Alligator mississippiensis: one gene and its partners. The protein of the gene in region 3 purifies or fractionates together with the protein of the main gene of each other region. This does not show direct contact. Links are inferred from orthologs where the notes say so. Each region holds a gene or a part of one and is shown on either strand. Other genes may lie near its edges. The genes, in order: MAPK14, MAPK8 and DUSP4.

Evidence for each region.
Region 1: the proteins of DUSP4 (region 3) and MAPK14 purify together in Homo sapiens (affinity purification with mass spectrometry; 3 studies listed by BioGRID and IntAct, with this or other methods). This does not show direct contact. The link is inferred for Alligator mississippiensis from reciprocal best matches to the Homo sapiens genes DUSP4 and MAPK14.
Region 2: the proteins of DUSP4 (region 3) and MAPK8 purify together in Homo sapiens (affinity purification with western blotting; 3 studies listed by BioGRID and IntAct, with this or other methods). This does not show direct contact. The link is inferred for Alligator mississippiensis from reciprocal best matches to the Homo sapiens genes DUSP4 and MAPK8.

What each region holds. Positions count from the first base shown.
Region 1 is NC_081837.1:36,163,904-36,174,352, forward strand, and holds the start of MAPK14 (mitogen-activated protein kinase 14), read right to left. Parts: upstream 4,124-10,449; 5' UTR 3,908-4,123; coding exon 3,792-3,907; intron 1-3,791. Other genes in the region: SLC26A8 (testis anion transporter 1), read left to right, coding at 6,991-7,163, 10,208-10,347. UniProt on the Homo sapiens protein: Serine/threonine kinase which acts as an essential component of the MAP kinase signal transduction pathway.
Region 2 is NC_081829.1:21,154,015-21,164,384, reverse strand, and holds the start of MAPK8 (mitogen-activated protein kinase 8), read right to left. Parts: upstream 5,170-10,370; 5' UTR 5,113-5,169; intron 1-5,112. UniProt on the Homo sapiens protein: Serine/threonine-protein kinase involved in various processes such as cell proliferation, differentiation, migration, transformation and programmed cell death.
Region 3 is NC_081825.1:141,287,391-141,297,663, reverse strand, and holds the start of DUSP4 (dual specificity protein phosphatase 4), read right to left. Parts: upstream 5,273-10,273; 5' UTR 5,227-5,272; coding exon 4,848-5,226; intron 1-4,847. UniProt on the Homo sapiens protein: Regulates mitogenic signal transduction by dephosphorylating both Thr and Tyr residues on MAP kinases ERK1 and ERK2.

The DNA of each region.
Region 1 (10,449 bases), on a different chromosome or scaffold from region 3:
GTTAAAAGAAGATGCACACAGCATCCTGGTATTTTCCTCTGTACACTGGCTCCTGATGGAATATAAAGACAAGATCTCTGTCACAGCCAAAAAGAGACAAGGTTCTTTGGGTGAACCTGATATCTTTTATTAGACCAACTTAAATAGTTGGAAAAACCATATTAAGCAATTTGTTTCCCCAACTATTTAAGTTGGTCTAATAAAAAATATCAGATTCACCCAAAGAACCTTGTCTGCCTGTATCCTTAGACCAACACAGCTACAACCTACACAGCCAAAAGGAAGCATTTCATGGAACTTACTCTTGTTACCTCAGGTCATCTTCCTCCACATGGCATCCAGTTCACAACTACATGCATCTGGGACAATGAAACTCATGAACGCGTGAGATAAAACCATAACAAGAACTGCCGGTGGCCTTTGGAATCTCCTCTTACAAGAGGATAAAGATGAACAGGATCCTCACTACTTCCAGCACTGAATACAGCATTCAGACTCCTTTTCTCTCATTCAGTACTGCAGATGTAAATCACACCCACATTCACAAGCAAACCAGAAGTCCTATAAACCTGTATTTCCCAAACGTTTTGGAACAACGGACCACTGTCAAGCCTGAAAATTTCTCACCAGTCAGTCCCCATACACCCTTTTAAATGAAAAGAAGATGCCCAGTGTGAGCAAGCCACATACAGACTACCAGGGCAGTTTGGAACTGCTATGATCAAATCAGATTATTTCATCTATGAGTTGGGACGGCAGTTTTCTTGTATTGCTAGTAGTTCTCCCCTGCCTCCCACACATGTACACAGGAGCACTTCTGCTATGCTGATGGATTTGGGAAGGTGAAGACAAATGCTAACTCAAAAGCCTGCAAAAATCATTATTATTTTGAAGTATTTGGAATGGGACATTTAAGGCTTTTCACTACATTTCCCCTTAGTCTTAAGCACTTAAAGTTCCTTAACTTAAAAAAGGGAAACTACTACAAATTCAAAGGAAACTAAACTATCTGTATGATTAGTAACTGAGAAACAAATCTAGTTCTGACGCTTTAGTCTTCCACTCATAACAGAAACATATCTGGATCCAGATAAAGATCTGGAACAGACTCCCAGCAGGTGTGGTGCAGGCACCTACCCTGGAGATCTTCAAGAGGAGACTGGATGCACACCTTGCTGGGGTTACTTGACCCCAGCAGTCTTTCCTGCCCAGAGCAGGGGGGCTGGACCCAATGATCTCATGAGGTCCCTTCCAGCCCTAAACTACTGTGAATACTGTACTGTGTGTATCTGGATATATATGCTATATACGAGCCATGTTACAAGATTCTTGTGCATCTGCTTAAATTCCTCCTGAAACTGAATGAAGCTTTAGACATATTCTAGAACAAATTAAAACATATTTGACTGTGAAGTTCCCAAAAACTTTGGGCAAAAGCCGACTACAAGAAAAAGACACTGCTTGTAAAGCCTTGCATTCATAATGCCTGTGCAACACTATGCCCATCTAGTGCAAAACCCGTTTTGAGTACTGACCGTTTCAAAGTGCTGAAACATCTATAACACACTTTTCTTAGCTTGGAACTAATTGAAACCATGCTATCTACAATTAGTTCTCCCCCACATGGGAGGGAAATTACTAGTGTTGTAGCAGCATCAATTCCATTTTACAACCTTGCAGGAAGTTATTCAAAATCCCCTCTTCCAAACTGTCAGGGCTTTATGAGAGAGGTACTTCAGCAACCCCAGAATGAATTCGTGTAGACTAAACCACAGGGTTGTGTCAAGAATATTGAAACTGTTGTACGATCAAATGAAATATGTATTCCATCCAACAGATACAACAGCAAATGATTATTTGCTGAGTGTAAGAAACATTTCTGTCTACATCAGTTTCTCAGTTCCTAAAAGTTTGAGCCTCCACCCCGTATCTCTGCATCTTAATTTCCATTTCTTAAATTAAAGCTGTCTCCTAAAAACAACTGAGATGTCTACCTGCACCATCTCCTAAATAAATGATGTTATACTTTGGAAAATATGGTCTTCATGATTTGCTGATGCAATTATTTATGTTTGAAAAAGTCTTCTCTCTATGAGACTTAATATTCCTCCTGTTTAAACTCCCTCTACCCCCAGCTCCCACCCACCCATTCACATCCTCCCTGGTACATACCCCTATAGTGATATATCTTAGTATATTCTGCTTATTTCACTACCTCAATTTAACACTGCAGGAGAATCTCCTGGCTTTGCTGTTGTAACCTTAATCTGTTCCAATTATATCTTAAATACAACATACTTCGTAGTGATGACAGATTGGAAAAGAAAATGAGCCAAGAAGGAGCAAGTCTGTAGAAACAGACATGAACTTTGATTAGTAGCAAAGTGCCATCAAATTTTATAAGATAAACTACACTATTCAAACCAAGTACAGCAAAAAGCAGCGGGGACAGACCTATTTTCTCCCTTTTCTATAGGAAAAAAATTACTATAAGACATACAGAAAGACACAGTAGATATGTCTACTAGACTCCAGTCTGTTTGAAACTGCTTTCAATAAAAAATAGGTTCTTCTGCTACTGAAAGGCAGTTGCACAATCTTTGAAAGCTTTGACACTGCAAAACAGGAAATTCATGATGCAAATCCTTACGTTGTTAGCAGTGGAAAGAAGCATTTGGAAGCAATACTTAGAGTCTGGAAAACACAATCTGGAACAGGAGGAGGGATTTTGAAAGGGTTGTTCTTAAAAATAAAGTCAGACGGTCAGGAAGCATGCTCATTTTCCCCCCATTATAATCCAAGAGGGTTGAGCACATTCAGCACCTCAGGAGGACTCATGAACTAGGGAGGTCAGGCCTCTGGTCTGCTGCAACTAAACTCAGCTTTTCAACGATAACAGTTCCAAGAGCACATTCAGTTATTCAAACTACTAACTCCTTTATACACGGCAGGGGACAAATACTCATCTCCTTGTGACACAGCAGTTTTAGGAAATAGGTGTTATTTGAATGGAACTTGCAGACAGTTTTATCATTCAAATGAACACGTTGCTGTCAAAAAAAACAGAACCAACAGACAGCTTTTTTTTTTTTTTTTTTAAAGCTACAACGTGTAAAGATTCACAGAAGTTTAGGGCTGGAAGGGACATCATGCGATCATCAGGTCCAGCCCCTTGATCTGGGCAGGAAAGACTGCTGGGGTCGTGTAACCCCAGCAAAAGAAAATCATTTCTATTTGCATTTGGGGACTATGGCTCTGGCATTAACTGATCATGGGTTGCGTATTTAAGATGATTTGGCGCACAGGACGCTTTGGATAGGAACAACCCTGCCTCAGGCAGGGCGGGTTAGACTAGACAAGTCCTCTGGAGGTCTCCAGCCTGACTTCTACCATGAGTATTTTGCATGAATGCAGTGACAGGTGCGTCCTGGCTGCACCCACCGGCCCATCAGGTGCTGGAGCACTGCAGGCACCGAGAAACCCATTACAGTGTTACCAATATTTCTACACCTAAAAGGCTCTGCTGCTACCTGACCCCAGCTGTTCAAACCACCGGGTTTGAAATGCACGCTGACATCATTTCACAGCAGCAGGACACGCTGTCGGGATTGAAGAGCGCACGGGACAGTTTGCATAGGCGTGATCTGATCTGCATCTAAATGACCTCTGCAGCCCCAATGCTTCAGGCACCAAACTCCCCTTGTCCCCGCAGCCCGAGGCCTTTGGGCCACCGCGGTCCCCCATCCAAGCGCGCACCGGGCCCGACCCTGCTTAGCTTGGCGGGCACTCACCACACGGAGCCGTAGGCGCCGGAGCCCACCGGCGACAGGTTCTGGTAGCGCTCGGGCACCTCCCACACCGTCTTGTTCAGCTCCTGCCGGTAGAACTTGGGCCGCTCCTGAGACATCGCGGCGGCGGCGGCGCCGGGCCGGGCCGGGCGGGGGGGGTCCCGCGCGCGGCCCCCCCTCCCGTCCCCTCCCGAGCCGGCGGGGGGGCTCCTCCCTCGCGCGCGGGGCGGGGGGGCCGCAGGAGGCGGGGGCAGGGGGCTCCTCGAGCAGGTAGAGGCGGCTGCAGGCGCTGACGGCAACCGCGGAGCAACGTAACCACCCACCCCCCGCCCCCCTCCCGCTCCGCCAGTGGCACAGCCCGGCCGAGACTCCAGTGGGTCTCGCGAGAGTTGTGGCAGCGGGGACGGGGATGACCCAATATGGAACCAGCGCGGGGGCGGTCTCGCGAGAGCTGGGCGGGGGGGGGGCGCCGCGGCGCGTGTGGTTGCAGGAGCAAAATCAGCTAAAGAAACCCCGAGCGGGAATAACCTTCGCTGAGGCTTTTGCACGGAGCCGTCACGGCCAGGGGACAGAAGCGATCTCTCATTGGACCAAGAAGATTTTTTTTGCAAAAAAAGGAAAAAAAAATCTTTAATTGCAGACTTTCATTGCAAACTTTAATTGCAAGTTCTTTCATTGCAAACTTTCAGGCACAAACCCACATCAGGCATCAGAGAAAAGATTGGAAAAGTTCTCCCGGGTAGAAATGAAAGTTCGTATTTCACAGGATTTTATGGAGGGGTCAATAGATGGAAAACTCAGGGCAGTGGTTCATAGCTGTTAAGGACAGGTCTCCTGTGAGGATCTGTGATGATGCGAATTACCTTGAAACAAAGGCAGGAGCAGGGTCTCACGTTTCAGGCGGTTGCAGTTGCTTCCAGCTTGGGAAAATATGAAGATTTCATTTAAAAAATCAGCTAAAATTCAACATATTCCATGCGTCCGGTATCCAGGTTTAGGCCTGTATGAAAGGTGTTTCTCTGATGCCTGATAAAGGGTGTTTGTGCCTGAAAGCTTGCAATTAAACCAACAAGATCTTTGCAAAAAAAATCTTAATAAAAGACATCACTTCTGTCCACGGACCCTGATTGCTTTTTCCTCTAGACCAATACAGCTACCAACTGGATACCTGACGCATTTGCACAGAAGCAGATTTAGGAGAGCCCGAGTCCCAGTTTGGTGTGACCATGTCCTTCCTTTTAATGCCGATTTGGCCTCTAGTGTCCATCTGAAAGACCTGCAATGACAGTTGTCCCCCAGGTGGATTTCCCAGTGTGTCCTGGGCCTGGGCCCCCATTGCATGCACCTTCTGCACTATTAATATTTTAGGGAAGTGGAATATCTGTGTTTGTCCGCATTGCACGAGGCATGCTGCCAAAGCAGATGTGGATATACTTAACTTGAAGCATGTGTTTCAGGTAATTAGATTAAACCAACTGGCTTTAAATCAGCACTTCAAGTAAAGCATGTCCTAATAAGCAGTGCTGAAGTTGAGCCTGAATTAAAATAAGAAGAAGAAAGTAAAGAGATGAGCAATGGTCAACCAACAAATAACCAGTGTTTAGTGGGGTTTGAATTTAGGACCGTGGACCGTGCTATACTTCACCTGAGGCGTGAGGTCAAGCCTCCGCTTCTCCCTGAGACAGGAATAGTGATATTTGTGTGGTATTTGCCCCATCCAGCGCAATTTGATCGTGATCCCACCCAAGCCACATCCCTGGTGTTAGAGTTTGGCTTTGTGGGACTGAAGTCTGCTCCCCTGAGAAGTTATAAGTAGGGAGGAGGTTGGATCTCGCCTGTCCTGCCACTTGCAATGTGCGCGCAAGCCAAGTCTAACTACCCCGCGCAGTTCAAATGGTCAGCAGCAGCAATCCCTTGATTCGAGGCCGATCTCTACCATGCCTCATCACTGGGTCTTCAGGTGACTTAAGAGTCCAATCATGGAGCCACGGGACCCATCCGCCGATGTTGCAGATCTTTCTTCAGGGGGAATCGGCTGTAGGTTGGGGCTCCTCTCCTTCTCCTGTCTCCGCTCTCTCTTCTCTGCTTAGACGGGCAGACGCTTTACCTCGAGCGGGCTGCCGCTTGGTTGAGGTTGCAGCACCTTTGGGGTCACTTAGCAGCCAGCTCCCAGCTCTTGATGTGGGCCTCCATGTTCTTGAACGTGTCCTCAAAACATTTCCTCTGGCTGCCATGAGAGCTCAAGCTGGGAGCAGAGCGCTTGTTTTGGGGGTGGGACACCCGTGCGCAACTTCCAGTCCGGCGAAGTTGCTTTCACGCCGTGCTGGCAACGCTGGCTGGAGCCAGGAAGCTGGCGTCTGCGCCGCGACCTTCCCGTTTGCCGCGCAGGATCCTTGGCAATGCCTCTCCAGGCTCTTGGGAGCCGTCCCTCGCGTTGCACGCCCGTCGAGGAGAGCGGGTAGACCTGGGACTCGGCTCTTGTCCCACCTGGGGCAGAAGTGGAAGGGGGGGGAGTCAGACGCCCTCCCTCGGGGGTGGATCAGCCGCAGTTTCCTCCAAGAGGGGGACCCGACCCGGCGCCCTCCTGGGGTGGGAGCCTTCCAGAAAGATCCTCCACCCCTCCCCCCGGGCTGGCAGTTGGCCGAGCCACGGCTTTGAGGGGACGGCCGTGCCAGCGCCTGCCATTGCGCTGCCGTGGGCAGGGTGGGCAGCCTGCCTGGGACGGCCCCAGCGGCTGAGGGGCGAGGGGCAGAGGGAGGCCTGGAGGAAAGAGGGAGGAAAAAAAGGAGGCGGAGAAAGCCATGGGAAGGAGGGGCTCACGGGATGGGAAGGAGAGCGAGAGGCTCAGCGGCATGGCTGGGGCACTGCTCTCGCAGGCCCTAGAGATCAACGCAGGGCTAGCAGGATCGCATCCCGCCCCGACGTGACCAGGCGGTGCCGCAGGCCGCATCGGGGTTGCTGCTTGCACTTAGCAGATAGAGGATTTCCAGCTGCCAGAGCCTAATTTAACTCTGCGGATTGTGTGGGGCGGCCCCGGGCGTCGATTACCGACCCTGGCGCCCGGTCGGTTCAGTCGGTGTAACTATCTGAAGAGTCATTTCAGGTCCGTGACCCTCTTTCCTCTCTTTAGCATCGCAGACGAGAGCTTTCATTTTGCTTGCCGGCATTCGGGGTTCCCGTGCCTTCGGACGTCCGAGACCGGATGGAGCCAGACAGTCATCCCTTCGGTCCGCACAGGCAATCAAGGAGCTACCACATCAATCGGGGTCTGCGCACTGAAGACCACTTTGAGAGAACCTACGAAAGACACGAGCCCCTGCCCAAGAACAGGGATTTCAAAATCTTTCAAGTCCAACGAAGGAAGGTCCAATGCAGGTGAGTTGTTTTCTGGAAATCTGTGAAAAAGCTGAGGGGCTCTGTCAGGTGCTGTCCTTCTGCTGCTACTTGTCAATGCAAAACCAGAAGTTTGTAATAACAGCTGAAATCAAATAGTCGCTACAGAGCTCCATGCCTGGGGAGTGGGAGGCGAAGCTCAGCACAGCGCTACAGCCGACAGTCCACGCCGGTCTCTGTCCATTATGAACGTCTGTCTCAGACTTGTCATCAGCCCAAGGTTTTGTGCGTGATGAGGAGGAACCGTGCCAATTGTTTCAGGGCTTCCCGCCACCCAAGTTGCTAGATACAAGGTTACGTCTGCTTTTCCGCTTTGTAGATTTTGCTATTTTGGTTGCTTAAATTCTCCAGATACCATTTTCGGTTCCCTCTTCGTAGGACCGAGAGGCTGGCTGGCTTTCCTGCAGGACTGACAAAAATTGCTCTCACCCAGGAGTGACTGTCAGACGTGCTTGGCCCCCAGGCCACATCCTGACAGCAGGGCTCCTCTCGGGCTAGAACCAGCCAGCAAGAAATCTTCTGGGTCGGATTTGAACCCAGCTCCAGTGGCAAGGCGAGCAGTGGGCAAGCAGTGGTGGGGTGAGCAGTGCTGTATCAGATTAGGGAGCTGGGAGGTTAATGCAGCCCTTACTGAAACACATCCCCAACAGAGCTCCATACCCTGATATTTTTATGGTGGGCCTTGCCTCCACTTACCCTACATCTGTGGCTCCTGGAGAAGATCACAAGGCTTCTCCAGGAGCCACACGGACTTGGTGACACAGCTCTGTGGCCTGGATTTGGTCTGTGGGCTGTATCTTTGATACCCTCTTTCTAACCCATTTGCCCGCCCTTTATTCTTTGAAAAGAATGGGAAAGTTGAACCCTCACAAATTCTCTTTGGAACATTGGCTCTTGGGATTAGGGTGTCTCTCCTGTTATAAACCATCCGTCTATGGTGAGTTCCCAACAGCGTGCACCAGATAGCAGCGTTTTTTAACAGAGAATGTCCCCTGTTCTTCCATCAGGGAAAGCATAACCAGTTAAAGTTTGGGAGCCACTTTATCAGTTTCCCTTTTAATTTGGTTTGATGCTGCTGGCACCTAGCTTGAGCTGTCCCTGAGTTATGTTCATGTCCACTTAATTTCTGGCTTTATTTGGATGTACTACATCTTCATCAGAGAAAACAGGGGTGCCTGTAAGTGTCAGGTTTGATTTATTTTTAAATAGCACCAGGTACCTCTCTGTGAATTGACCTACAAGAAACAGTAGTTGTGTACTAGATGGGCTCCTTTTGCACCTAAATACCACTGTCCGCATAAAAAAGTGGACGCCAAGTCATCTGAAAGATGCATTTATCACTTCTCAGAAGTCTGTCTCAGAGTTCACCAAAAATAAAGGACTCGATCCTTTTCCACCTGTAAGACACCTAAGTGAACTTAATTGTCTAAATGTTATCCCATTCCAGCCTGCTCAGATCTGAGAAACTGTTAATACAAATTTTAATACAAAACTATGAGAGATTTAGCTCTCAGTTACATTGAAGTAAATCCCCAGTAATCTCACCGAGGTAAGTGGAAGTAATCTAGGGTTACACTGATGTAAATGAGAGCACAAATTGATTCACTACTTCTTTTCCAGCTTTTCATTCACTCAGGAACACCCTTAATAATAAAATCAGTTGGTTTGTGAAAAGCACCATCACTTGGGATATTTAACAAAAAGGGAAAGGCAGCGAACAAACTACTGCAGCAATGGTTTCAAACCTATTTGGTGGAGAGGGTTAAATGTGGTCTGTGAGCTGGAGTTCACATTTTGGTGCATGTGGTCCTACTGCCATCAGTAGATGATTTTCACAGAGATTAAGATAAATTATTGCTTTTACGTTGTAACTAAACATTATTTGTTCAGTCTTTTATTGGTGCATTCATCATTCAGTGACAAAATCTGCCTCCTTTTAGTAACATTATTATTTCTGCCCTTTGTTTCTTTTGCTTCCTCATATTCCTTTTTCTGGTTCTTTCTCACTTCCCTATTTCATGAACATCCTCTATTTTCTTTTCTCTATTTCATTCCCAGTTACCAACCCAGCATACTTACTTGCACCACACGGCCCACTCCATGTGCTTAAATTATCAGTTATTAAATGTGCAAGAGGCAAGGATTTTTGTGGGCAATATGCTTTATTGAACTAACTGTATGGTTGGGATGAACCAGAAGTTTCAGGTGCCAAATACAGTACTTCAGGCCTTGCATATTTCCTGGATCATCACAGCTACAACATCACTTCAACACTAGTTATTAAAAAGTCACTGTTGGTACAGAAGTGCCATGATCAGGCTTTAAAGTTGACACTCCAGTTGGATCAATGGAATTCACTCTTCGAAGTCATTGCTTCAGGCTGCCTACAGACCTGGGCAGGCACTCCTCAGTTACACTTAGTTACTATTTAAAAATGATGTTTGCAGCCAGAAAATATAACAACTTTTTAAAGTTTGGGTACTAGACTTTGACCGAGGCATGCACATTGCATATTGCTCATGTGCAATACATGTACTATATAGGTGGGATCTTTCTTCCAGGCTGTAAGGTTGACATACTCATGTTAGAGAATTTCATACAGGAAACACAATTGACTATTCCCCAGGGGAGATACAGGAAGTGGTGTCTTTTCACCTCTATTTTCTGGGACTTCATGATTTTCTATTTTCCACCTATAACCAGAATCAATGCACCTTATGTTTTGCTGCTGTGATACCAGGAATAAGCAGTCAGCATGTCCAGGGTTGTGAGCTCTTGCATTTGCAAACTATTGTGTGCTAATCTCTTGAGCAGAACATGGAATATTTGCAGTTATGGGGCACCACACACAGAAATCATTACAGTGTATTCTTATTATATGAATTCACGTTATATGCTTTTAGGGCTTGCAAAGGATTAATCATAGCTGTCTGGGTTCTGAGCATGGAGAGAGCAGAAACCCAGAAAAAAACAAAACAGTGGAAGTGCTCAACACACATATATGTAACATGTCTGTTTCCTCTTAGATTCTCCTGGGGAAGATTCAGAAAGTTCGTGCATACTATGTTTCCCATCCTGAACTGGTTGTGTATATATCGGATCAGAGAGTGGCTCCTGGGGGATGTGCATGCTGGTATAAGTGTGGGATTGGTCCAAATTCCTCAAGGTAAGCAAAGAAAAACACTATTATTCCTCTTCTCGATTCTATCCTTTTTGTATTTATATTCTTATTTTCTGTCTTATTTTCTAACTACCTAGCTCTGCTAAA
Region 2 (10,370 bases), on a different chromosome or scaffold from region 3:
CCTTATTAAAAAGGGACACTTGTGACCAAAAAAAAGAGTCAATAGTACAATTTATCAAAGACTTTTTTTTATCAAGACCCTTTCATCACATCTAGAGGGAGAGAAAGAAATATGAAGCGAGAGTTAGATACACCTTAATAAACTATAAGAAAAAAGAGCACCCCCCCCCACAAACGCATCATAATCTAATAGATTAATACAAAGGTGTCCAATTCAGACTTGAAGTTTGAACATGCTCTTCCTGTAAATCTTTTAACCACCTGGAACAATGGTGAGATTGAGAATGAGAGAACAAACATAAGTATGCTGAAGTTGGACAATAAGTGGGAAGCACAACTCAATACTCCTATCCTATTATTAAGAAAAACCTCAAAACATCAGTGACCACTGACCATCAGTGTCTATAGCCAAGTAACTACTAAAGAAAACATTCCATATTATCAGTAAGGTATGAGAATATTTTCTTAAACTTGTAACACACATCCCACGAGATGGAGACACTGTACATCACTAAACTGTTAAAATAACTGGCCTATATAGCAAGTTTACCCAACTGATTTGCAAAATAAATTGCACATGCATTTCTATATAGCCTCAAAACTACTGCTCCCTAAAGTTAGAAAGTCTGATGAGCAGTACTTTCCCCTAGAAAATCCCTTATCCTTATACTCCTAAAAGTATAAATCAGAGTATGAATCAAGAAACACACTGTGGGGTTTAACATGGACACACTCTCTCAATATTTCAGTTCACAACTAGCTTGCTAGTCAAATATTTCTCCTCAGACTCTGTCCCTGAAAATTTCACTTAGGATCTGAAAGTCAAACTGGGCTCTTTCTGGCTCCTGCACCATCGGCAATAAAGATTCTATAAACAGAAATCTAATTAGCAATTCTTCCAGTGTTGATGTATAAGCCAAAAGGGAGTCCTGGTCACTGAACCCTATGCAACAGCTAACAAGCAGAAAAAAAGTGTATTTGTCAGTAAAAAAAAGAGCACATATGTACATGTAGTAGCTGTACCACATAAGAAATGGCAGCATCTTTCACCTCTGTCTACTTCTTTTCCCACAAAGAAACTGATATTCATTTCAGAAGTTTCAAAATTAAATTACATTTACCAAAAAGCAAACTCAAAACATCCAGGATTTGGGGAACCATCACAATGACAACACTAGAGAAACAAATTCAGACTCCCATACAATCAATGTGTGAAACAAGACACTTGCAAAATTGTTTTCAGATGAACTGGAATCAGTTATAACATTTCAGAGTATATTAACTTGTATCAAACAGATTCTGTTTCATCAGATCTCATTATTTTCAGAACAGAGCTGTGGGTTTTCCAGAAAATTTTGAATTGGAAAATGTTCCGGAAATTTTTCCAATGCCCTAGAGCGTGATCTGATTTAGCATGTTTATTTGACTTATACTTAGTCAACAAAACTAAAAAAGTACCCCTTCATGTTAATTTTATGTCCCAATAGCCACAAGTATTTGAACTGAAATATTTGATTAGGAAAAAAATTAAATACAGCACACATAACGTGGTTTAAATGTTCTATTCAAACAAATTCAAAGCTTTATATGGAAAGAAATTATTTTTATTGGAATATTCTTTTAAATGTAAAGACAATACACAATAGCATGTAATCCCTTATATTGTTTGTTTAAATTTAAGAAAAAGAATGAAGGCACTGAAAACTGTTGACACATTAATTTTAGCACACCCAAAGAACTGTGCATAATACGCCATGCTTTGGTTTTGATTTGACCTGCACAGCCATTTAGGTGAATTCATACCATTTGATACCAAATTATGGGGCAAAGTTAACACACCAGAGTGTAGGAAACGGATCCAGGCAGATCTAGACAGGCTGGAAAAGTGGGCAGAATGAAACAGGATGCAGTTCAACAAAGACAAGCGCAAAGTCCAGGCAAAATGAACCACCAACACACTTACAGGCTGGGGGATGACCTCCTCAGCAGCAGAAAGGAATCTTGGAGTCATAGTCGACTCCAAGATGAACATGCGTCAATGTGATGAAAGCGATCAACAAGGCTAACCACACTTTATCATGCATTAGCAGATGCATGATGAACAGGTCCAGGGAAGTGATGCTTCCCTTCTATGCGGCACTGGTCATGCACAGTTGGAGTACAGTACTGTGCCCAGTTTTGGGCGCGGCATTTTAAGAGGGATGCGGAGAATTTTGAGAGGGTTCAGAGGAGGGCCACTCGTATGGTTATAGGCCTGCAGGCAAGGACCTACGAGGAGAGACTGAGGGACTTAGATCTCTTCAGCCTTCGCAAGAGAAGGTTGAGAGGTGATTGTGTGGCTGCCTATAAATTCATCAGGGGAGGGCAGCAGGGAATAGGAGATGCTCTGTTTACTAGGGCACCCCCTGGAGTCACTAGGAACAATGGCCACAAATTGACAGAGAGCAGATTTGGGTTGGACATTAGAAAGATCTTCACAGTAAGGATTGTCAGAATCTGGAATGGGCTTCCAAGGGAGATGGTGCTCTCCCCTACCTTGGGGGTCTTCAAGAGGAGACTGGACAATCACCTAGCTGGGGTCATCTAAACCCAGCACTCTTTCCTGCCCAGGGCAGGGGGTCAGACTCAATGACCTACTGAGGTCCCTTCCGAACCTAAGATCCATGAATCTATAACTTGATTTTTTATTTGGATTGTTATGTGAGTGTATTTACCCTCCTGTTTACAAATCAATAAAACATGTGTGCGCTCTCTCACATACTTCCTAGGGATAATCACCTGAAAAACCATTAATTACAACTTTGAAACTGCCAAGCTTGCCTAATATGGTATTGGCATCCATTCATTGTTACTAATGAATTTTATGAAATCATGAATTTTTAGAAATGGAAAATGTCCCACAGAAAAATAAAGCACTGGAAAATTTTCCGCCACACATCTCTGTTTCAGAATGAAATATTTTTCCTAGAATATCTAACTCCTTTGCCAAGTGACATACTCCTATGCTCCATTCACAATCCAACCACCACCACAGACACATGCTCCATGCATGCCACTTCACCCTGCTCATTGTTTCCACGTTTAAATTAGGGTGGGCACCAACATAAAAAGTGGTACAATAAAAATAATGCAGGCAATAGGTTCATCAAATTGCTACTTTCTAGTAAAAGTGTTTGACATTATTTAAAGAAAACAAACACACATGGAATGCTGTGTGGTCCTACATCAGGGGCGGGCAATTATTCTGGGCGGAGGGCCGCTTACTGAGTTTTGGCGCCATCATGATAGGCAGCCAGGGGCAGATAAATATTAATTTTCTAAGTTTCTTAGGGGCCCTGCAGGTCAAATAGAAGGGCCTGGTGGGCTGCATCTGGCCCCCGGGCTGCATTTTGCCCACCCCGTCCTACATGCTAGAATAGTGGTTCTTATCCAGAGTGCTGCAAGACCCCCTCAGGGGTGCTGTGATGCAGTCTCTGCTGCCACAGCAGTTGGTAAAACTGCCTTGCATGCCAGGCTGTAATAGAAGCACTCTTCCTGCCTTAGGGCGCTCTGATAACTCTCTTCCCAGTCTACTTCTGCCCCCCATGCTCCTCCTGGAAAGAGACGCATAGGCCAGGTCCATCTCTCCACAGGTCTCTACTTCCAGGAGATGCTGTACCCAATCGGACTGGGAAGAACTGCAGCATGAACCACCTCTATTGTCTGCTTTAGTGTTAATGGAGAACCTGAAAGCAGGAGGAGCATCTGCATGTGCCACAGCCCTTCCCAGTCTGGCTACCCAGCAGCTGCAAAGGGCCCTTTTATTTGGCAGCAGCAGCACCCGGTTAGGAACTGAGGCAAGATGAACACAACAAAGGTTCGCAGCTGGACATGCTGCTATACTCAGTAGCTCTGGAGGGATGCCCTGACTAAAAAGGTCAAGGATTCCTGCCCTAGACCGACAGGAATTTGAAATGTGTCACCTATCTGAATCCCCTTGCAAATAAATCAAAATGGTTGCCTCAAGAAATTAAAATGAATCACTTTCAGCAACACTTTCAGTTCAGTAGCTATTACATACTTTGTAGCATACAGGTACGCAATTTATTTCATCTATATACTTATCCATGAAACAGCCAACAAATTCACTTCGATGGCAACCTTAAGCAGCAGTTTGACCTCCCTCCCTTCAGGCTACCTTTGGAGTCATTTAAAACATATTAGTGAAAGGAGGGTATACCAGCTGATGGATGCAAAACAAACCAAGGCAAAGGCCACTTTCCAAACACCTGCCTCACCATGTCATACTTACTTCACTGTGAAAGTGAAACTATCTTTTGCCCTATTGCTACTAGTAATCTGTATGCCTCTACAAAAAAGCAGGCTGTAGCAAAACACAGATCAGACACTTTTCCCAGGGCAATTAATCGTTTTCCTTTATAAAATAACCTACGGTTGGTTACCCCATGATCAGGCCAAGCTAGAAGATGTTTTTGGGGCAGGCTGGGAAACGTCTGTGCTAGTCTGGTCTGGATGTTCTCTAGGATATAACACTCAAAGTAACCCCGCCCGCGGCCCCCCCGTCAGAGAGAAACGGGGCAAGCGGCGTTCACATTTGAAGCTGGTCCCGGAACCCCCAAAGCAGAACCCCCCCCCGAACCGGTGAAATCAGAGGCCGGAGAGCGGGGAGATGCTCAGGGCAGCCGGCGGCAGGGAAACGCTGCAGCGCGTCACCGAGAGGAAGATGCAAAGCCCCCACACGGCGGCCAAGCTCCGCCGCAGCTCTCAGCGCGCCGGTATCGCGGGGGGGAGGGGGACACGACCGAGAGCTACGGCGCGGCCTGAACTACAGATGTCACCGGCTTCAGGCTGCTGCAGCCGCCGGCCTCGGCGCGCACCGCAGCGGGCACCACAACAAAGGGCCCCGCGCCCGCATCGCTCCCCCGCGCGGGGATGCGCTCGGGATCCGGCTCCGGCGGCCCCGCCCCCACCTCACGGGGGCCGGGGCCGGGGCCGGGGCCGGCTCCGGCCCCTCCCCCCACAGCAAAACATAAACAAAGCGGCCGAGCCGCCGCCCGGGGGTCCCCCCCACCCGCCGCGGCCCACGCCCACCCGCCCGCGCGCCCGCACTCACCTCTCCCACCGCCGCCGCCGACTAACGAGCCGCGCAGGCGCACACGCACGCCCCGCCCCCCTGCGCCGGGCACGCCCCGCCCCCGCGGCCCAGGCCCCGCCCCCCACGCCCCGCGACCGCAGCGCTCACGACGGCCCCGCCCGGCAGGGGCTGGACACGCCTCCGCGACCTGCTGCGGCTCCGGCTCCGGCCCCGGCCCCGGCCCCGGCAGTGGCCCCAGGCCGCCTTTTGTGCGGGGTTGTTCGGTGGGAGCGGCGCTCCCAGGACAGGGAGGCCTGCAACGAAGCAGAGAGAGGCGTGAAATGCGCATTTATAAATCCCTCCCTTCCCCCCGCTCTGGACTTTATGCATCGGGATGTGGCAGCCCGGGGCCTGCCTCAAGGCCTTGCGGGTCATCTGCAGGGACCAGAAGGGCTGTTTTCCCTCTGGAAAGCTGCTGCCCCCTGGAAGAAGGTTTCCCCGGCCTGGAAAGAGCCACACCTAGGGCTGCTCCTGCCCATCTGGGAAGCTCGAGCCCTGCTACAAGGGTTGCTGGCTGCTCAGGGCAGGGTGGCTGTCGGGGTACCTCAAGAACAGAGGACAGCTGCATTTTGTCCCCGCCACCATGAACAGTCATATGCCTCGCACGGCTGGGGGTGCACAGTGGTGACAGTGAGCGGGGAGCTCCCACGGGCAGCCACAACCATGTTGGTGGTGGGGGGGTGCCGAGAGGTGAAAGAATAGAGGACACAAAGGCATCCGGTTTCATATCGAGGACAGAGGACCAGAAAACTGGACCGCCCTCTACAAAACCAGACGAATGGCCACCCTAGCTCAGGGCCATCCCGGTTGCCACATCTGAGTGGGAATGAAGTTTTCCCCTTGGTCAGGCTGAGGAGACCTGTGCAGACTTTGCTCTTCTCTGTAGCATGGGGCTTTGCTCTCCTCTGTTCTCAAGGATTCTCTTCCTGGGATTTGTGTGTGTATGCATTCCCTCATTGCTTTGGCAGGGCAGTAGCAAAGTCCCATCTTCTCTGCTTTTACCAGCTGCGTGCTATGGTGCTCTTGGGACCATAGGCAACACACCGGGGGACACAGGCGGGCGATTGGCTGCGGGTGCCCCCCCGACTCAGGAGGCACCAGTCACCCATGCTTCAGGCTTTAGTCTTGTGCCTTGTAGTTGTGTGTGAGGGTTTAAAGCAAAGATTTGAGAGAATCCTTGGGTAAATGGTTGCTTGCAAATGCAACAGACTGGGCTTGAAAGGCCCCTTCCAGTCCTGTGTTCTTTCAGGGACCAGGGTTTTCTCTCATCACTAGTCAGGGTATAGCTCCTGTTCAGTATGCAGGGGTGGATCCAGGCAGAGGTGCACTGGTACACAGACAACCCCGCACTCCAAATTCCTATTCCACCCAAAGGTTAAAACCAACTGCCTGGCAGTGACAGCAGCATTTTGAGTCAGGAAGTGCTGAGGGACTCACTTGATTTTATGACTCATTATAACCTACCTGATCCCTGCTAAACTCTTCATGCCACAGATATTAATGCCCTTCTCTTCTTTTTAATGGCCTGGATGTTCCATCAATCATCCTCTGTTCTGCAATTCTGCTGTCAACTAGCTGCTCCTGGTAATGAGGCTCATATTTCACAGACCTGCAAATTGTTTTTAACTCATTCCAACAAAATTATATTTGTTTTTGCTTCCATCTTAACCTGAGTAAAACAGCCCTAGGCCCCTAGCATATTAGTAAAGCTTCTAGTTCCTTCTTAAATGGAGAAAAATGTGTGTTGTTTTATATGTAATAATGCACCTCACCATCTGCACCGCCCTTTTCAAAATTCTAGATCCATGTCAGTGTGTATGTCTACTACTCCAGAGCCTGACAAAAGATCAGTATGTTTATCTGCTGCTCTTTTCCCCCTTCCTTACTTTTGTGCTTGTAGGATGGCCAGTTGCAATGTGAATGAGGCATCTGGCGACACTGTATGACCTGCATCCTATGTTTAATTCCTGCCTGTGAAACATTTCAGACAGTTCTTTCTGGACTGAAGCCAGCGGTAGACAGTCCTTACTACAGGTGCTCTTTGGTTTTCCTGTCCAGTTCCTTTTGAAACAAGTATCCTTTTCTGAATTCAGCTTAGACTTTCAATCCACTCCCACTCTGCCTTTCTGTTGAGTTGCATTCAAAGAACAAAATAACATTTTCGGAGGCCTGCCCTAAATAGTATCTGCCAGTGCTTCAGTATTCACCCAAATAATTTTCCTCCGCTTCTAGCCTTCTTTAATTACTTTGACACCTCTGACCTTTGATGCTTTTATTATTTCAGTGCCTGTTATTTGGCATATTGTCACTTAACTGTGATGTCTGGAGTTTTTTTGGAACTAAAGATTTCTAGTTCTTTTGCATCCAATATGTTACCATTGTTAATCTTCAGTGCCTGCTTCCGTACAAAAGTATCAAGGTCTTTAGGTGTCAGTACTTGACTCAGCTAATTTCTTTCTTTGGTCTTCCAACATTCTCTATGCCATTTCATTGATTGCCTTTCTTGTAGGAACATCAGAGCTTAGGATATTGTTTAGCAGCTGCAAGTCATATCAACTGGAAAGAAAGAAGTCTGTGACAAAAACTTTGATTGACAACTTTCTTGGAGATGAGTAGTTACTTCTCTACAAGGCCAGATTTCCTTTTGTTAAATTCAGTAAAGTTATCTCATCATACAAGTTATTGCAGTATCACCAAATGTACCACACATTGGCTATTTGACCCTCTATGACAGGGTCATCAAATGTATCTGTCTGTGTGGGCTAGATTAGCGGAACAGGGCTGGTTCCTGGGCTGGATCAGGCCCACAGACCCCCATCCCCCCTCCCACATGTCTGATCCAGCACGTGTGGCACTCAGAGTGGCCTGCGATGGCAGCCCATGTGACTGCTGCCTGCAGTGCACCCTGCAACCAGCCCCAATGAGTGCTGTGAGTGGTGTAGCCAGGGACCCAGTCCCAGCAAGCACTGCATGTGGCTCAGGGCAAGTCCAGTACAGCATGTAGGTCAACAGGGCAGCACTGGGAGCTGGATTATGGAGCTCTGCAGGTCAGATTCAGCCCAGGGTCCACATATTTAACACCCCTGCTCTGTGCCATCCTAATGAAACTTGAAGTCACCAGTGCCTTTGTTCATGTGATCAGATTGAGATTCCACAGAATAGGCTGATGCCGTTTTTTTAGGACTTTGACTTCTGGTAGCATAATTCCAAACCCTCTGGCTCACCCCCTCAGGTCCACATTTTTCTCTGCTCAAGTGGTGTCTGGGTACCAATATGTGACAGCCTAGCTGGTAGTGATTTGGCCCAGGGGTTTTGAAAGGGTAAGAAATGATTGGAGAGCTTGGGAGTCCCTTTCCTCACCAATCAGGCCCCAGAGACTCCCCCTCCATGTCCCCTGACTGGCCCCTCGGGTCACCTGGGGGGGGATAAAAGGGGCAGTGCAGCTGACTTGGGAAGACTAGTGAGGGACCACAAGGAAGGAGTTTCAAAGAGCTGGCAAGAGCTGGGCCAGCGGGGTGGGAGCAGTTGCCCCAGAAGAACCTGAAGGAGTGGGAGCTGCAGGCAGCAGTTGGACCCTCAGCAGTGCGGCATGCAGCTGGCAAGAAAGGCTCCCTGCTGGGCTCCAGGATCCCCCTACAAGAGGCTGCAGCCAACAGGAGAGGTTCCCCAGCTCCAGCAAGAAGCTGAGCAGTGGCCCGAGAGGTTCCCAGCTCTGCTTCCAGCTCCTCCAGCCAGAGGCAGGGCAGCTTGACATGACACAGGGGCTCCTGAAAGGTCAAAACCCCTAGCAGCTTGGATTAGTTCTAGTACTGGTGACTGTGTGATATGGTTTCTGCCTATCATGTGGAAAATCTGAGTTCGTGTCTCAGCTGGAATGAGTGAAGTGAAAGTGAGATTTTTTGTCACAGTGGAGGGGGTCATTGTGTTTTCCCTCTTCCCCCCCTCCAGATACCTATGCCCTCTGTCTCTTGTTATTTGATGTTTTGTATTTTGTGCATTTTATATTTCACCAACCAGTATTGTTTGTTGTGCTGTTTGTGTTTTATACTTTGTTAAACCTGTCTTTTGTCAACTTGATGAATATGTCTATGAATGTAAATGCCTAACCTTTATTGAATCCCGCCCCCTTGGGGCATTGTAGTGCCCCCTGTACCCCCTGGTTTATACATGTTATGATCCCACTACTGTTTTTCCCATTAAAAAATATATGGTTAAGTACCCATTGGAGATCTGGCTCTGCTCTATAGGGGAAGGAGGGTCCCTATAACTCCCACAGCACTCGTGCACCTGCTCTGATCCCTTCAATTGGAGAGGGGGTACATCTTGGAGTACCGCCCAGGCTACAAATATATGACTGATGATCTTCTCTGGTAACTATTTGATTCTCTTTAAGATGGTTACAAACCCTGAAAGGTCTTTTCAGCTTAATCAGCCTCCCTGTTTTACTGTACAAGAGAACCAGCAGATCATAGAATCACAGAAGTAGGGTCAGAAGGGACCTTGTAGATCTTCAAGTCCGACCCCCTGCCTGAGCAGGAGGAAAACTGGGCTCAATTGACCCCAGTCAGGTAGGCATCGAGCCGCTTCTTAAAGACCCCCATGGTAGGAGCCAGCACCACTTCCCTTGGAAGTTGGTTCCAGATCCTAGCTGCCCTAACTGTGAAGCAGGTCTTTCTGCAGTCTTTCCCTCCCTACTAGCATGCCCACCTCACCCCAAAGTTTGGTATTATCAGCAAATTTGAACAGGTTGCTTTTCATCCCGTCGTCCAAGTCGCTGATAAAGAAATTGAACAGTGCGGGCCCAAAGACCGAGCCCCGGGGGACTCTGCTGCCACCTTCCCCCCAGGTCGAATACGACCCGTTCACCACCACCCTCTGAGTACGACCCTTCAGCCAATTTGCCATCCATCTGACTGTGTAGGCATCGATGCCACAGTCGCCTAGTTTTTTAATGAGGATGGGGTGGTTGACAGTGTCAAAGGCCTTGCTGAAGTCTAGAAAGACTACATCCACGGCGACACCTGCATCCAATGCTTTTGTGACCTGATCGTAAAAGGCAATCAGGTTGGTCTGACATGACCTGCCCCTAATGAAACCGTACTGGTTGCCCTTGAGCATCATCCCCCACGCCGGCCCATCACAGATGTACTCCTTGATGATCTTCTCAAAGAGTTTCCCCAGGATTGAGGTAAGACTGATGGGCCTATAGTTGCCCGGGTCCTCCCTGCTCCCTTTTT
Region 3 (10,273 bases):
TTTTTGCAGATCCTGCTTTCCACTCCTTTCCTCACTGGCTTTGAGGCAGGACTACACAACACTGAGAGCTGCAAAAGGAGCCCTCCCCAGAAGACGGAAGGGCACTCTGTCCAGCACCCATAGAACAAATGGATGCAGTGGTTAAAGGAAGGCTCCCTTTCTACAGGAGGAACAATGTAACAGCTCCACACAGCCACTTTCTACTACCAACCTGTGCGTGGTATCATGTGCCAACTCTTTACCAGAATCTCACCCCGGACTCCCCATCTGTCAAATGATTTCTCTGGGCTGCTCATGTTCTGGGTTTCTAGGCTTGCTACTCAGCATCTATGAACAATTTTCAGAGTAAGAGGATGCTAAAGAAGCCTCTTGATATCAGTGCCTCTGGAAGATTCATGCAGAAGTTGGCTGGCCTCGCTCTGTCCCTAAATGTAAAAGATTAACTCTCACAGACTGATGCTGGCTGGTGCCTCTCCTAGGACAGAGGTAAGTCACTGCAGATCAGGACACAGGCTGCTGTCTTCAGTCTGATTCCAAATCCCTGTTCCACGTGCAGGAACTAGAAACCAAGCATGAGAGCTTGACCCAGAGAGGCCAACAGTAGTTCCATCATTAGTCTTTGTGGGACCAGGAGCTCATCCCAGACTCTGATGATCAGCCACATCAGCCTAAATGCAAACCTGATCACAGTGGATCTACTCCTGATCTACAAGGGTGTAATGGATGCCTTGCAGCTCAGGCTGCATACTGAAGGCTGTGGCATGCAATGATGGAGTCCAATTTCCAAGGGAATGCTGAGTTTTAGTTTAAAACTAGTTTGATTCCATTAAAAAAATGGAATTGAAAGGTTGTGTTTTGCCTGTGTGCATCTAGGAGAAAACATAGTAAGCAAAGGACAAGAAACAACATGCCCAATTATAAGCACTTGCTTAAACCCATCCCAATTCAGTCCCTCTTGGTCTATGAGGTTTAAGCACATACTTGACTGCTTTGCAGAATCAAAAGAAATGGGGGAAGGAGGAGGGAGGGAGAGAGATACTACTGCGTGTTTTGCTACCAGCTACTAACATCCTCTTCCAGTCCAAATACCTTCTCTTATCCTTGAATGAAGTTCCCATAACCCTTTCTTAACATGCAGTCTGTGTATTACAACGCTATACACTTTATATTACAGCACTCCAAAGGTGGATTGGAGTAATATAAAGTGATTCTGTTTCACTTGCTATTATTGCAGCTTTAAGATGCCGGCAGGCTGTGTGATCTACACAGCACAGGTCTGAGGACCTGCATGTTTCTAGGTCTTAATCTTGCTTGAGCCATTGGCATGCTGTATGTGATTAGCAAGACATTTGATCTTTTTGTACTCCAATTAATTGCTTTGAAGCTCCGCATTGCCATAATGCACATGGAATATGTAAACAAAAATTATTACAGTCATTATCAACAGCAGCTCACATGTAATAAAAACAAACACAGTGAATTTAACATAATACATATTTTGGGGATTGACACCGTTCCCACTGACATTAGCCAAATTCAGCTCTTTGAATGCAGTGCCTAAAATGTTGTGTGAATTTCCTTGGTTGTACTGTTTTTTCCCTTTGGTAAAAGGAATTGAGACTTTACATATAATTTGAGAAGGTAGAACTGAAGAGCAGGTTTTAATAAGATATTACCAAAGAGAAGAAGTCAAGTCAGGCCAATGAAGGCTTTTACAATTAAAAGCAAAGGTAGACGGTCATGTCATTGAAACAAAGAAGCAGTCTTAGCTTGCATGCATCTTTATCAGCATCAGAATGACTTATTAACAAGAGACAAAACACAGTCCCTTTAGATGCCACTGCCAAGAAAACAATTGAGAAAAAGGCTCCCTGTTTGAGAATTAATTAATCCTTATCGGAGCTCCTGCTGTTTTTACTGTATCAAGCACAACATAAATGCCAAATACAACATTTATCAAACCTATTAATGGACTCACCACTATCTAACTACATGCGTGCGCTCCCGATCCCCCATTGTCAGTAAAACCATGAATAAATTACAACGCACTGGTTGTAAACAAAAAACCGTGCAATTCCATTGGGCACGCATGTTTCCAAAATAGACTGAGGGGAATTTTAAGAAAACCTCATTACAGAGCTTGAAACTTCTCGCTGTCACTATTACTGCGATTTTAATTTGGTTTAAATTAGCGAACATCAGATGCAGGCCATTAAAAAGGCAACAATCACTAGATTGTCATCAGGGGGTGCAGACCAGTTTCAAAGGGTTTTGCTCTACTATGAGGAAGGGAATGCTTACACAACCGAGAATCATTTTTTGCTACGTAACTGATGATCTGCCTTCAGTGTTCTGACCTGAACAACGGCTGATTTTCTTTCAGCACAACTCGCTGTATTTAGCTTGGATGAGAGGAAGGAATTAATTTTAATTATCTGCATCAAATTAAGGATCACGGCAGCTGGTTCCGCTGCTGCGGTTTCAAAGCCATTTCCTGCAGGTATCTGTCCAGCTTTAAACCAGATAAAACACATTCAGTTTTCCCGATGCTCCCTACCTAAATTCTCAAGATTTAAGCTGTCCTTGTGTCCCGTCCCCGCACCCCCAAGCCTAGGTTTTGCAGTGTCTTGGCTGAAACAATTAAAGAGACTTGAGAGACTGGGAAGGAAGATTCATGACCTGGCCACATCTCCCACTACACCAGCAGAGAGGCACCATGACATTTCCTCTGAATTACTGTGAATATTCAAAAATGTGCAGGTTTCTCATCAGACTTGCCCTAGAGCTCATTCCTGGCCTGCAGAAGGTTGAGACACATAATTCACCATGTTAGTCTGAAGTCAAGTAGAAGGCAGAGCAGATGTGCACCTTATAGAATAACCAAGGTAGATACAGACAGCATAAGCTTCTTTGTGAGGTGATGCTCACTTCATCATGAAGTGAGCTTCAGCTCACAAAAGCTTCTGTTATCTATATCTACTTGGGTAGCATATAAGGTGCACATCTACTCTGCCTTCTACTCGACTTCAGACTAATGTGGTGGGAGGGAACATAACCATACACAAAGCAAACTCAGCCTCCATGTTCCAAAAAAAGGGGGTGGTTTGATTGCTTTACCCAGAGCACAAGGGGAAGGAGAAAAAACCAGACTTGCAAAGTCCTCCTCTGTGGAGAAGGCTTTTTTGGGCACCAAAAGCATCACATCACTCTGTCAAAATCCAGCCTGGGAGGGCTCAGAGAGCTGAAGCAGCAAAAAAAAAAAGGGGCCACAGGGGTTTCCTTCACAGACACATGGCAGCTCCCACCCCAGTGCTGGGGGAGCCCACTGGCCCCACCACCCCTTGTATGGAGCCAGATCAGACCAGCTATCCTTTCACGGGGCCTTTTTTGCTCCTATCTCTTGTCCCTTGGGCAGAAGCCTCAGCCGCAAAGCCAGCTGAGCCCTACCAAGCTCAGGCAGGTCAGGCACAGGTCACCAGCAGCCTTTCCCCAGCAGCTGACTGGGCAAAGGGGCAGGAAGTGACTAGCCACTGTCCCCCACACTGTGTGGGGAGCCTCCTGCCGGCCTGGGGAGGGGCGAGAGGGGGGCTGAAAGAGCAGGGGCTGTGGAGGAATGACAAATGTGCCCCAAGCGGGAATGGAGGCAGGGAGGGAAGGAGAAAGAACAGCCACCCCCATCCCACCCCCTGCCCCTGGATTTGCAGCTGGGCTGGCCTGCAGGGAACAGAGCAAGGAGTGTTTGGCCTGGCAACTCCAGAGCAAGCAGGAGGCGTGGGGGGGGAGCAGGGCCAGCACCCAGACCCTCCAGGCCCTGGGGCTGCTTGGGCTCCCTCCACACCCCAGGCACAGGGCCTCCCTGATCCCACCCCCCTCGCACAGTACTTCCCTGAACCCTCCTGCTCACACCCATGGTCAAGGACTGCCCTGATCCCTCCACACACCCCATATGCATGGGGCCTGCTCCGATTTCCCCCCCACCCCTCAATGCAGGGGCTGCCCTGATTTTCCCCTCCCATACTTACACCCCATATACAGGACTGTCTGATTCCCTCCCCCCCATGCACCCCATGGCTCCCTCAATCTCCCTGTGCCCTGATCCCTCCCCACACTCACATCCCATGCAGAGGCTGCTCTTACTTCCCCCTCCACACACCTCCCCCACACCAGGGCTGCTCCAACCCACACTCACAGCACATACGTGGGAGCTGCTCTGATCCTGCCCCCCTCACACCTTCTACACAAGACTGCTTTGATCCCTGGCCCCCACTCACTCCCCACGCATGGGGGCTGTTCTGACCTTTCCCCCTCACACCCCATATACAGGGCTGCCCCAATGACCCCCCCCATTCACTCATACCCCACATGGGGGGCTGCCCCTGCCCCCTCCTACTCATGCCCATGACTGAAGTCTGCCCTGACAGCTGCTCTGCACACCCCTGCCTAGGATTGTCCCAATGACCTCCCCCCTCACTCACACCACACCTAGGGGGCTACCCCATCCCCTCCTGCTCACATCCCATGGCCCAGGGTTGTCCCCCCAGCACCATGGGGCTGGTCTAACTGCCCCCCCCAATGCCTGGGGCTGCCCCAGTGACCCCCCTACTCACTCACACCCCACATATGGGACTGCTCCATCCCTTCCTGCTCACACCCCAGTCTCCGACTCACACACATGGCTGCCCCCCCCCTTCCACTCACTCCCCCCCACACAGGGGCTGCTCAGACATGGGTCTGCCCCAGTGATCCCCCCCCCCCGCCTGCCCCGACCCCTCCTGCTGACACCCACGGCCGAGGGCGACCGCGACCCCTCCACACATGGGGCTGCCCCGGCCCCGGCCCCGGCCCACCTGCGAGCAGGCAGACATCGGCGCGCTCGGCGTCGCGGCGCAGCGCCCGCAGCACGAGGGACACGGTGCCGTCGTCGCGCAGGCAGTCGGCGCGGGAGCTGCGCTCGTCGTACAGCACCACGGCGGAGTAGAGGCCGGCGCGCAGGCGGGCGCGCACCTCGGCCTCGGCCGGCAGGATCTGCTCCAGGCTCACGGCGCCCTTGGCGCGGCGCCGCACGATGGTGTTGCAGCGCACGTTGAGGGCGCCCAGGACGTGGCCTGCGCTGTGCGCCAGGAAGGGCCGGCAGTCCAGCACCAGCACGCGGCCCTCCTCGCGGCCCGCCAGCAGCCGCCGCAGCCCGCCGCTCTCCAGCTCGCGCAGCTCCCCCATGGCCACCATGGTGCTGATCCGGCCCCAGCTCCTGCCGCCGCAGCCGCCGCCGCCGCCGCGGGAGCCCCTTTACTCGCGCCCCGCCCCGCCCCGCCCCGGCCGCGCTGAATGGAGCGCGCCGCCGCTGACGTCACCGCGGCCCATTGTGAGCGCGGCCCGCCCGCCGCCTCCATTCATAAAACCGGGCAGTGGAACACGGCGTCGCCGCTTTGTGAATGGAGCGCTGCCCGCGGCCATCCGCCGGCCCTCCCCCCGCCATTGACTGGCCGTAACCTGGGCATGAGCCGGGGGGGAAGCGCTGCGTGCCCACCCGCAAGGAGCTGCCCCAATGACCCTGCTTCACGCACACCCCACCGACAGGTCTGCCCCTGCCCCCTCCTGCTCACACCCCAGGGCCGAGAGCTGCCCCATTCCCCCCCCCCACACACACACACACCCACCCACACAATCCCTTCCCCCCCGACACACACGATTTCCTCCCCCCCAGATCTCAGAGTCGCTGTGGTTCCCCCGCAATGGTGCCCGGCCAGGGCTGGTCATCAAGGCGGTGGCAGAGATCGGGGCCTGCCCCGCTGCCCAGGCTCGGACAGAGCCGTGCTTCCTTGCCCGCGGCTGGGGGCAGAGGCGGCGCGGGCCCGCGGGGTCTGGAACGAGCAACACGCGGGGTTCCATTTTCGAACGTTGGAACATGCAGAGACCCGCCCCCGCAGGGGAGGGGGAGGGGGGGTTTCATCGGCTGCGCCTCGCCGGTGCATGGGAGACCCCGGGTGAGGGGACGTGGCCTTCGGCCAGAAGGAGCCCCGTGTTGCCCCAGGGAAAAGACCTCCTGCGAGCTCTCCCCCGTGACCTGGCTGCTGGCAGCAGCGAGCCACTTCCTTCCCTGTTCCTTCCGCGGGGAAGCGACTGTTCGCAACAAAGGAGTGTTTGTCCATCGAGGCTCTGGGAGAGATGATCCTGCCCGGGGAAGGGGGCTGGGCTAGCCGCTTCCCCGGGGCCCTGCCAGGCCTTGCTCCAGCCCTCAAACAAAGGGGTGCCCAGCAAAATCAAATGATTGTTGTTGTTTATTAAAAACAGCAACAATCATGATCATAGAATCATAGGCTCCAGAATCATAGAATTACAAGCTCATCTAGTCCAACCCCCTTGCCTGAGGCAGGGCCATACCTCTCCAAACCATGGCATACAGCAGCAATTCCCAACCTGTGGTACAGGTACCACCAGGGGTACTCAGGCAACCTGTCAGTGGTACACATTAACAATTTTTTTAAATTATATGACAAAAATTTGCTGGTGGTACTTAAGGCTGTATCATTTTAAATTGGTGGTACACAATCTGTCAGTTTGGGAACCGCTGCTATACAGGCAACCCCTACTTAATGCTGTTTTGCTTAGTGCTTTTTCACTATAATGCTAATTTTAAATTAATACCTGATTTCACTTAGCACTCAGTGAGTTTCGTTATAACTCTCACAGTTGCCATCTTGGGTCATTAAAAGCACTTGCGATCTCCATCTTGTGTTATCAAATACTTTCTGTTTCACTTAACATTCTTTTGGCTTTTATGCTCAGTTTTTCAGGAACCAATTAAGAGCACTAAGCAGGGGTTGCCTATACAATCCATGATCTAAACCCAGGCGTTCTCAATCTTTTTCGTACCAGGATCCATTTGTAAACATCCATGGCCAGTCCTGATCTGGTAAATAATTTAAGTAGGAAACAGCCCCCTGGCCCAGCTAATGCCCCTCAGTCAGGACCAGTTGCTCCCCAACCCCAGGTCCCAGCCCCCCCCCCTTCCCCCAGTGTGCAGGGTAGGGAGTAGGTGTGTGGGGCTGGAGGGTATGTGTGGGCACTGGGGCCCCAAGCAGCCCCTGGCAGGCTGGAACTCTGAAAGGGAAAAGCCACTGTTTCCCATGCTTTTGTCCTTTAAAGGAGAATCCATTTTTAAAGTTTGTTCGTGACTTTTTCATATATTCTTGCAACCCACTTTTGCGTCATGACCCACAGGTTGAGAAACACTGATTTAAACTCAACTGTGATGCAACACAGACCTAACACTCTAACCTGCCACACATAAAGCAGAGGAACCACAGCAGCCAAAGTCTTGCTTCTATGAAATGTTGTCAATATAGGCTCAAGAGATCCCTGGTAGAGGGCTACCCCCTGCCCCACAGAAGAGGACAAACCCCCCCACAGTCCATACCAGTCTGACCATGGGATAAAATTCCTTCCTGACCCCAAATATGCTGATTGGTCTGACTCGAAGAAGAGGGGTAAGACCCTCTAGCCAGGAACTTCCAGAAGAAGCGCTGGCACAGCCCCCAGTTCCCCCTCCAAACCCAGCACCAATTCCTGCTTCTGAATTCACATCTTTTGGGAGATGGAAAGAAATGAACACGGGAGAAGGGGAAAAAAAACAGAGAGAGATTTTAAAGCTGTTAAAAAAATGAAAGAAGAGGCCTCTTGTCTTTTCCCTCTCAATGTATGAAATGAATACATTACTGTAAGTAGCAGCTCCCTGGCTATCAAGGCTTCTGCTTCCTGGGAAGGGACCAATTTGTAACGGTGAGATCATGACATACAGGAATATTGGTAAATTGTTTAAACACATCAAGCCAAATCATGTTAGAGGCCTGACAGTGGATAATGTGAATCATGGGGTTAGCTGGGATACAGGGGGGGGAGGGATCTGATAGAGTAGCTAGGTTCAACAGGCTCCAGGGATATAATTAAGATACTGTAATTCAAATGCTTCCTGTTTTGTTATTTGATATACTAACTGTTACTCACCAGAGCCCCCAGAGCTCATCCCTTCTCTGTTTCATCCTCCGTGTTCATTCCTCTCCTCCCCACAGGCCTTTTATCTTTGACTGGACACACAATGCAAGGTTGGTTCACAAGGGGCTCCTGAACAGGGCTCTGCAGGACAGACCTGCCTGAGAATGTCCATACAAAAGGCTGACAAGGTTCCTTGGGTGAATTTGATAGAACCATTGGGGTTGGTCTAATAAAAGAGATCAAATTCACCCAAGGAACCTTGTCTGCCTATATCCTTAGACCAACACGGCTACAACCTAAACCCATACAAAAGGCTGTACTTTCAGGGATCATTTCTATAGTTGGTAACTAGAGGAGTGTGCCCATACTGAAGGTTTTTCCATCAGAAACTGACACACAGTCAAAATGGAAACTTCTTGTAGGAATATGTTGTTTTCAACAAACTTTTGTGTCTATAGAATAAAAACAAAGGATTTTGGTGATGCCAAAGGTACCTGACATTACACTGAAATGATTCCTTTCCATTTTCCATTGAGAAATGGGGTTTTGGTCACCAAAAATCAAAGCACACGCATGTCAACATCAAAACAAAGTGCCTCAATTGGTCCCCAAAACAATGTTTTGCAAATTTTACATTGCAGATTTCCAAGTTCAACATGTTATTGTGATTTGGGGATGAAGAAAAAGCTTCAAAACCACTATATTTCCCATTAAATTCAATTTTCTCCCACAGTCCTACTTCACAGCAAGGTTAACAGGGATAGAAGAGCCCTGGCTGGAGTCTAGAGAAGGCCATACTATCAGCCTTTGAACAGGCAGAGAAGAGGCCCTGGCAACAAGTATTTTGGTTGAGGCAAGTCATCATGTGTAAGGGAAGTGGCAGAAGAAGGCCTATCAATTCAGGAGAGGCTTTGTTCAGGTATCTGGCTTGGCTGGTGGGCTACACAGAGCTGGAGTCCTGACTTCAGCTTCTAGCCATGTTATATGGCTGTCATTCCAGACATCATGTGTCAGCTCCAGCACCTGGTAGGCAAAAATACGGTGTGCCCTGAAGCAAGTCTTAGAAAGACATTCCTCCCCAAAGAGGGCAGCATTTGAAAGGTCAGGCATGGGCCTGGGATCTGATCCCTCATGCACTCCAGTGTTACTTACCTGACTAAAGTGGCTTTCAGAACTCTTCCACCAGTGTACCCCAGGTCTGCAATCTGCTTTGGCAGCAATTCACAATCATCTGGCCATCATGCCCCTGACAGCCCTTGTTGGAGGGCAGTGAGGGTTCAGGCCAGAAGTGCCTTATGTTATAGGCAGGCAAGGTTCTTTGAGTAGATGTGATATCTTTTATTAGATCAGCTGAATAGTTGGGAAAAGTTTTGGGCACAGTCACTCTTCTTCAGGCATAGGAAGTCTGTTATAGGCAGATCCAAGTCTCAGGTATAGGGTAGGAACTGTCTGCTGTTCCCTCCTCCATTCCCTTGCTGCTGCTCCCTCCCAACACTGCTTTCTGGCTGCTGCCAAAACAGCTCCTAACTCCTACTCTTGTCAGCCTTGCCTTTGTTTGCCTTTGTCTTACCCCATCAGCGCTCACATGAATGAACTGTAGCCACGTGCTTGCCTGATCTAGGGTATTTCAGGCTTTGGATCTATTGTGCAGGATGCCCCAAAGATTGTCTTTGATCACAAACTAAGCAGCCACGATGATGGGAAATTATTTTGCTGCACATGCGGAGGCAGCCAAGAGGAAACATATCTACCTCTAATGAATGAATGCAGGTGCAGAGGTAAAAAGGATATACTGATACCCCTCTCCAAGTGCCAGAAAGCTATCATATGTTTCCCTAGATATCCCTTATAAAGGACATCCTTAATTCTTCAGCTCTAAAAAGAATCATTAAAAACATGGTGTCTCCTTTCAGAATCATTAAAAAAATTCTGCCTGAATGCAAGCATAATTTAAACCAGATTTTTGAGCATGTATTGCCCCCTGGCAGGGTGGCAAACTCCCCCTAAAGTCAATGGAAGCTTTGCATAAAGACCAGTGCCAAGATTCTGCTATTGGGCAAGGAAAGAATTGGTACACTTGGTGTCAGTGAGCAAACTGGCTTCTCTTTGTATCAAATCCAAAGGTTAACTCCCATTAAGTGCATGCTATGAGGTCATGTGGATCACATGGAGGTACACGTTACTTATCTTGGACACTTTAAACACTAATTACATTTGTTTTTATATTAAAATGGTACAATACAAGGAGGTTTCTCTCTGTACCTGGCAATTACTGTGCATG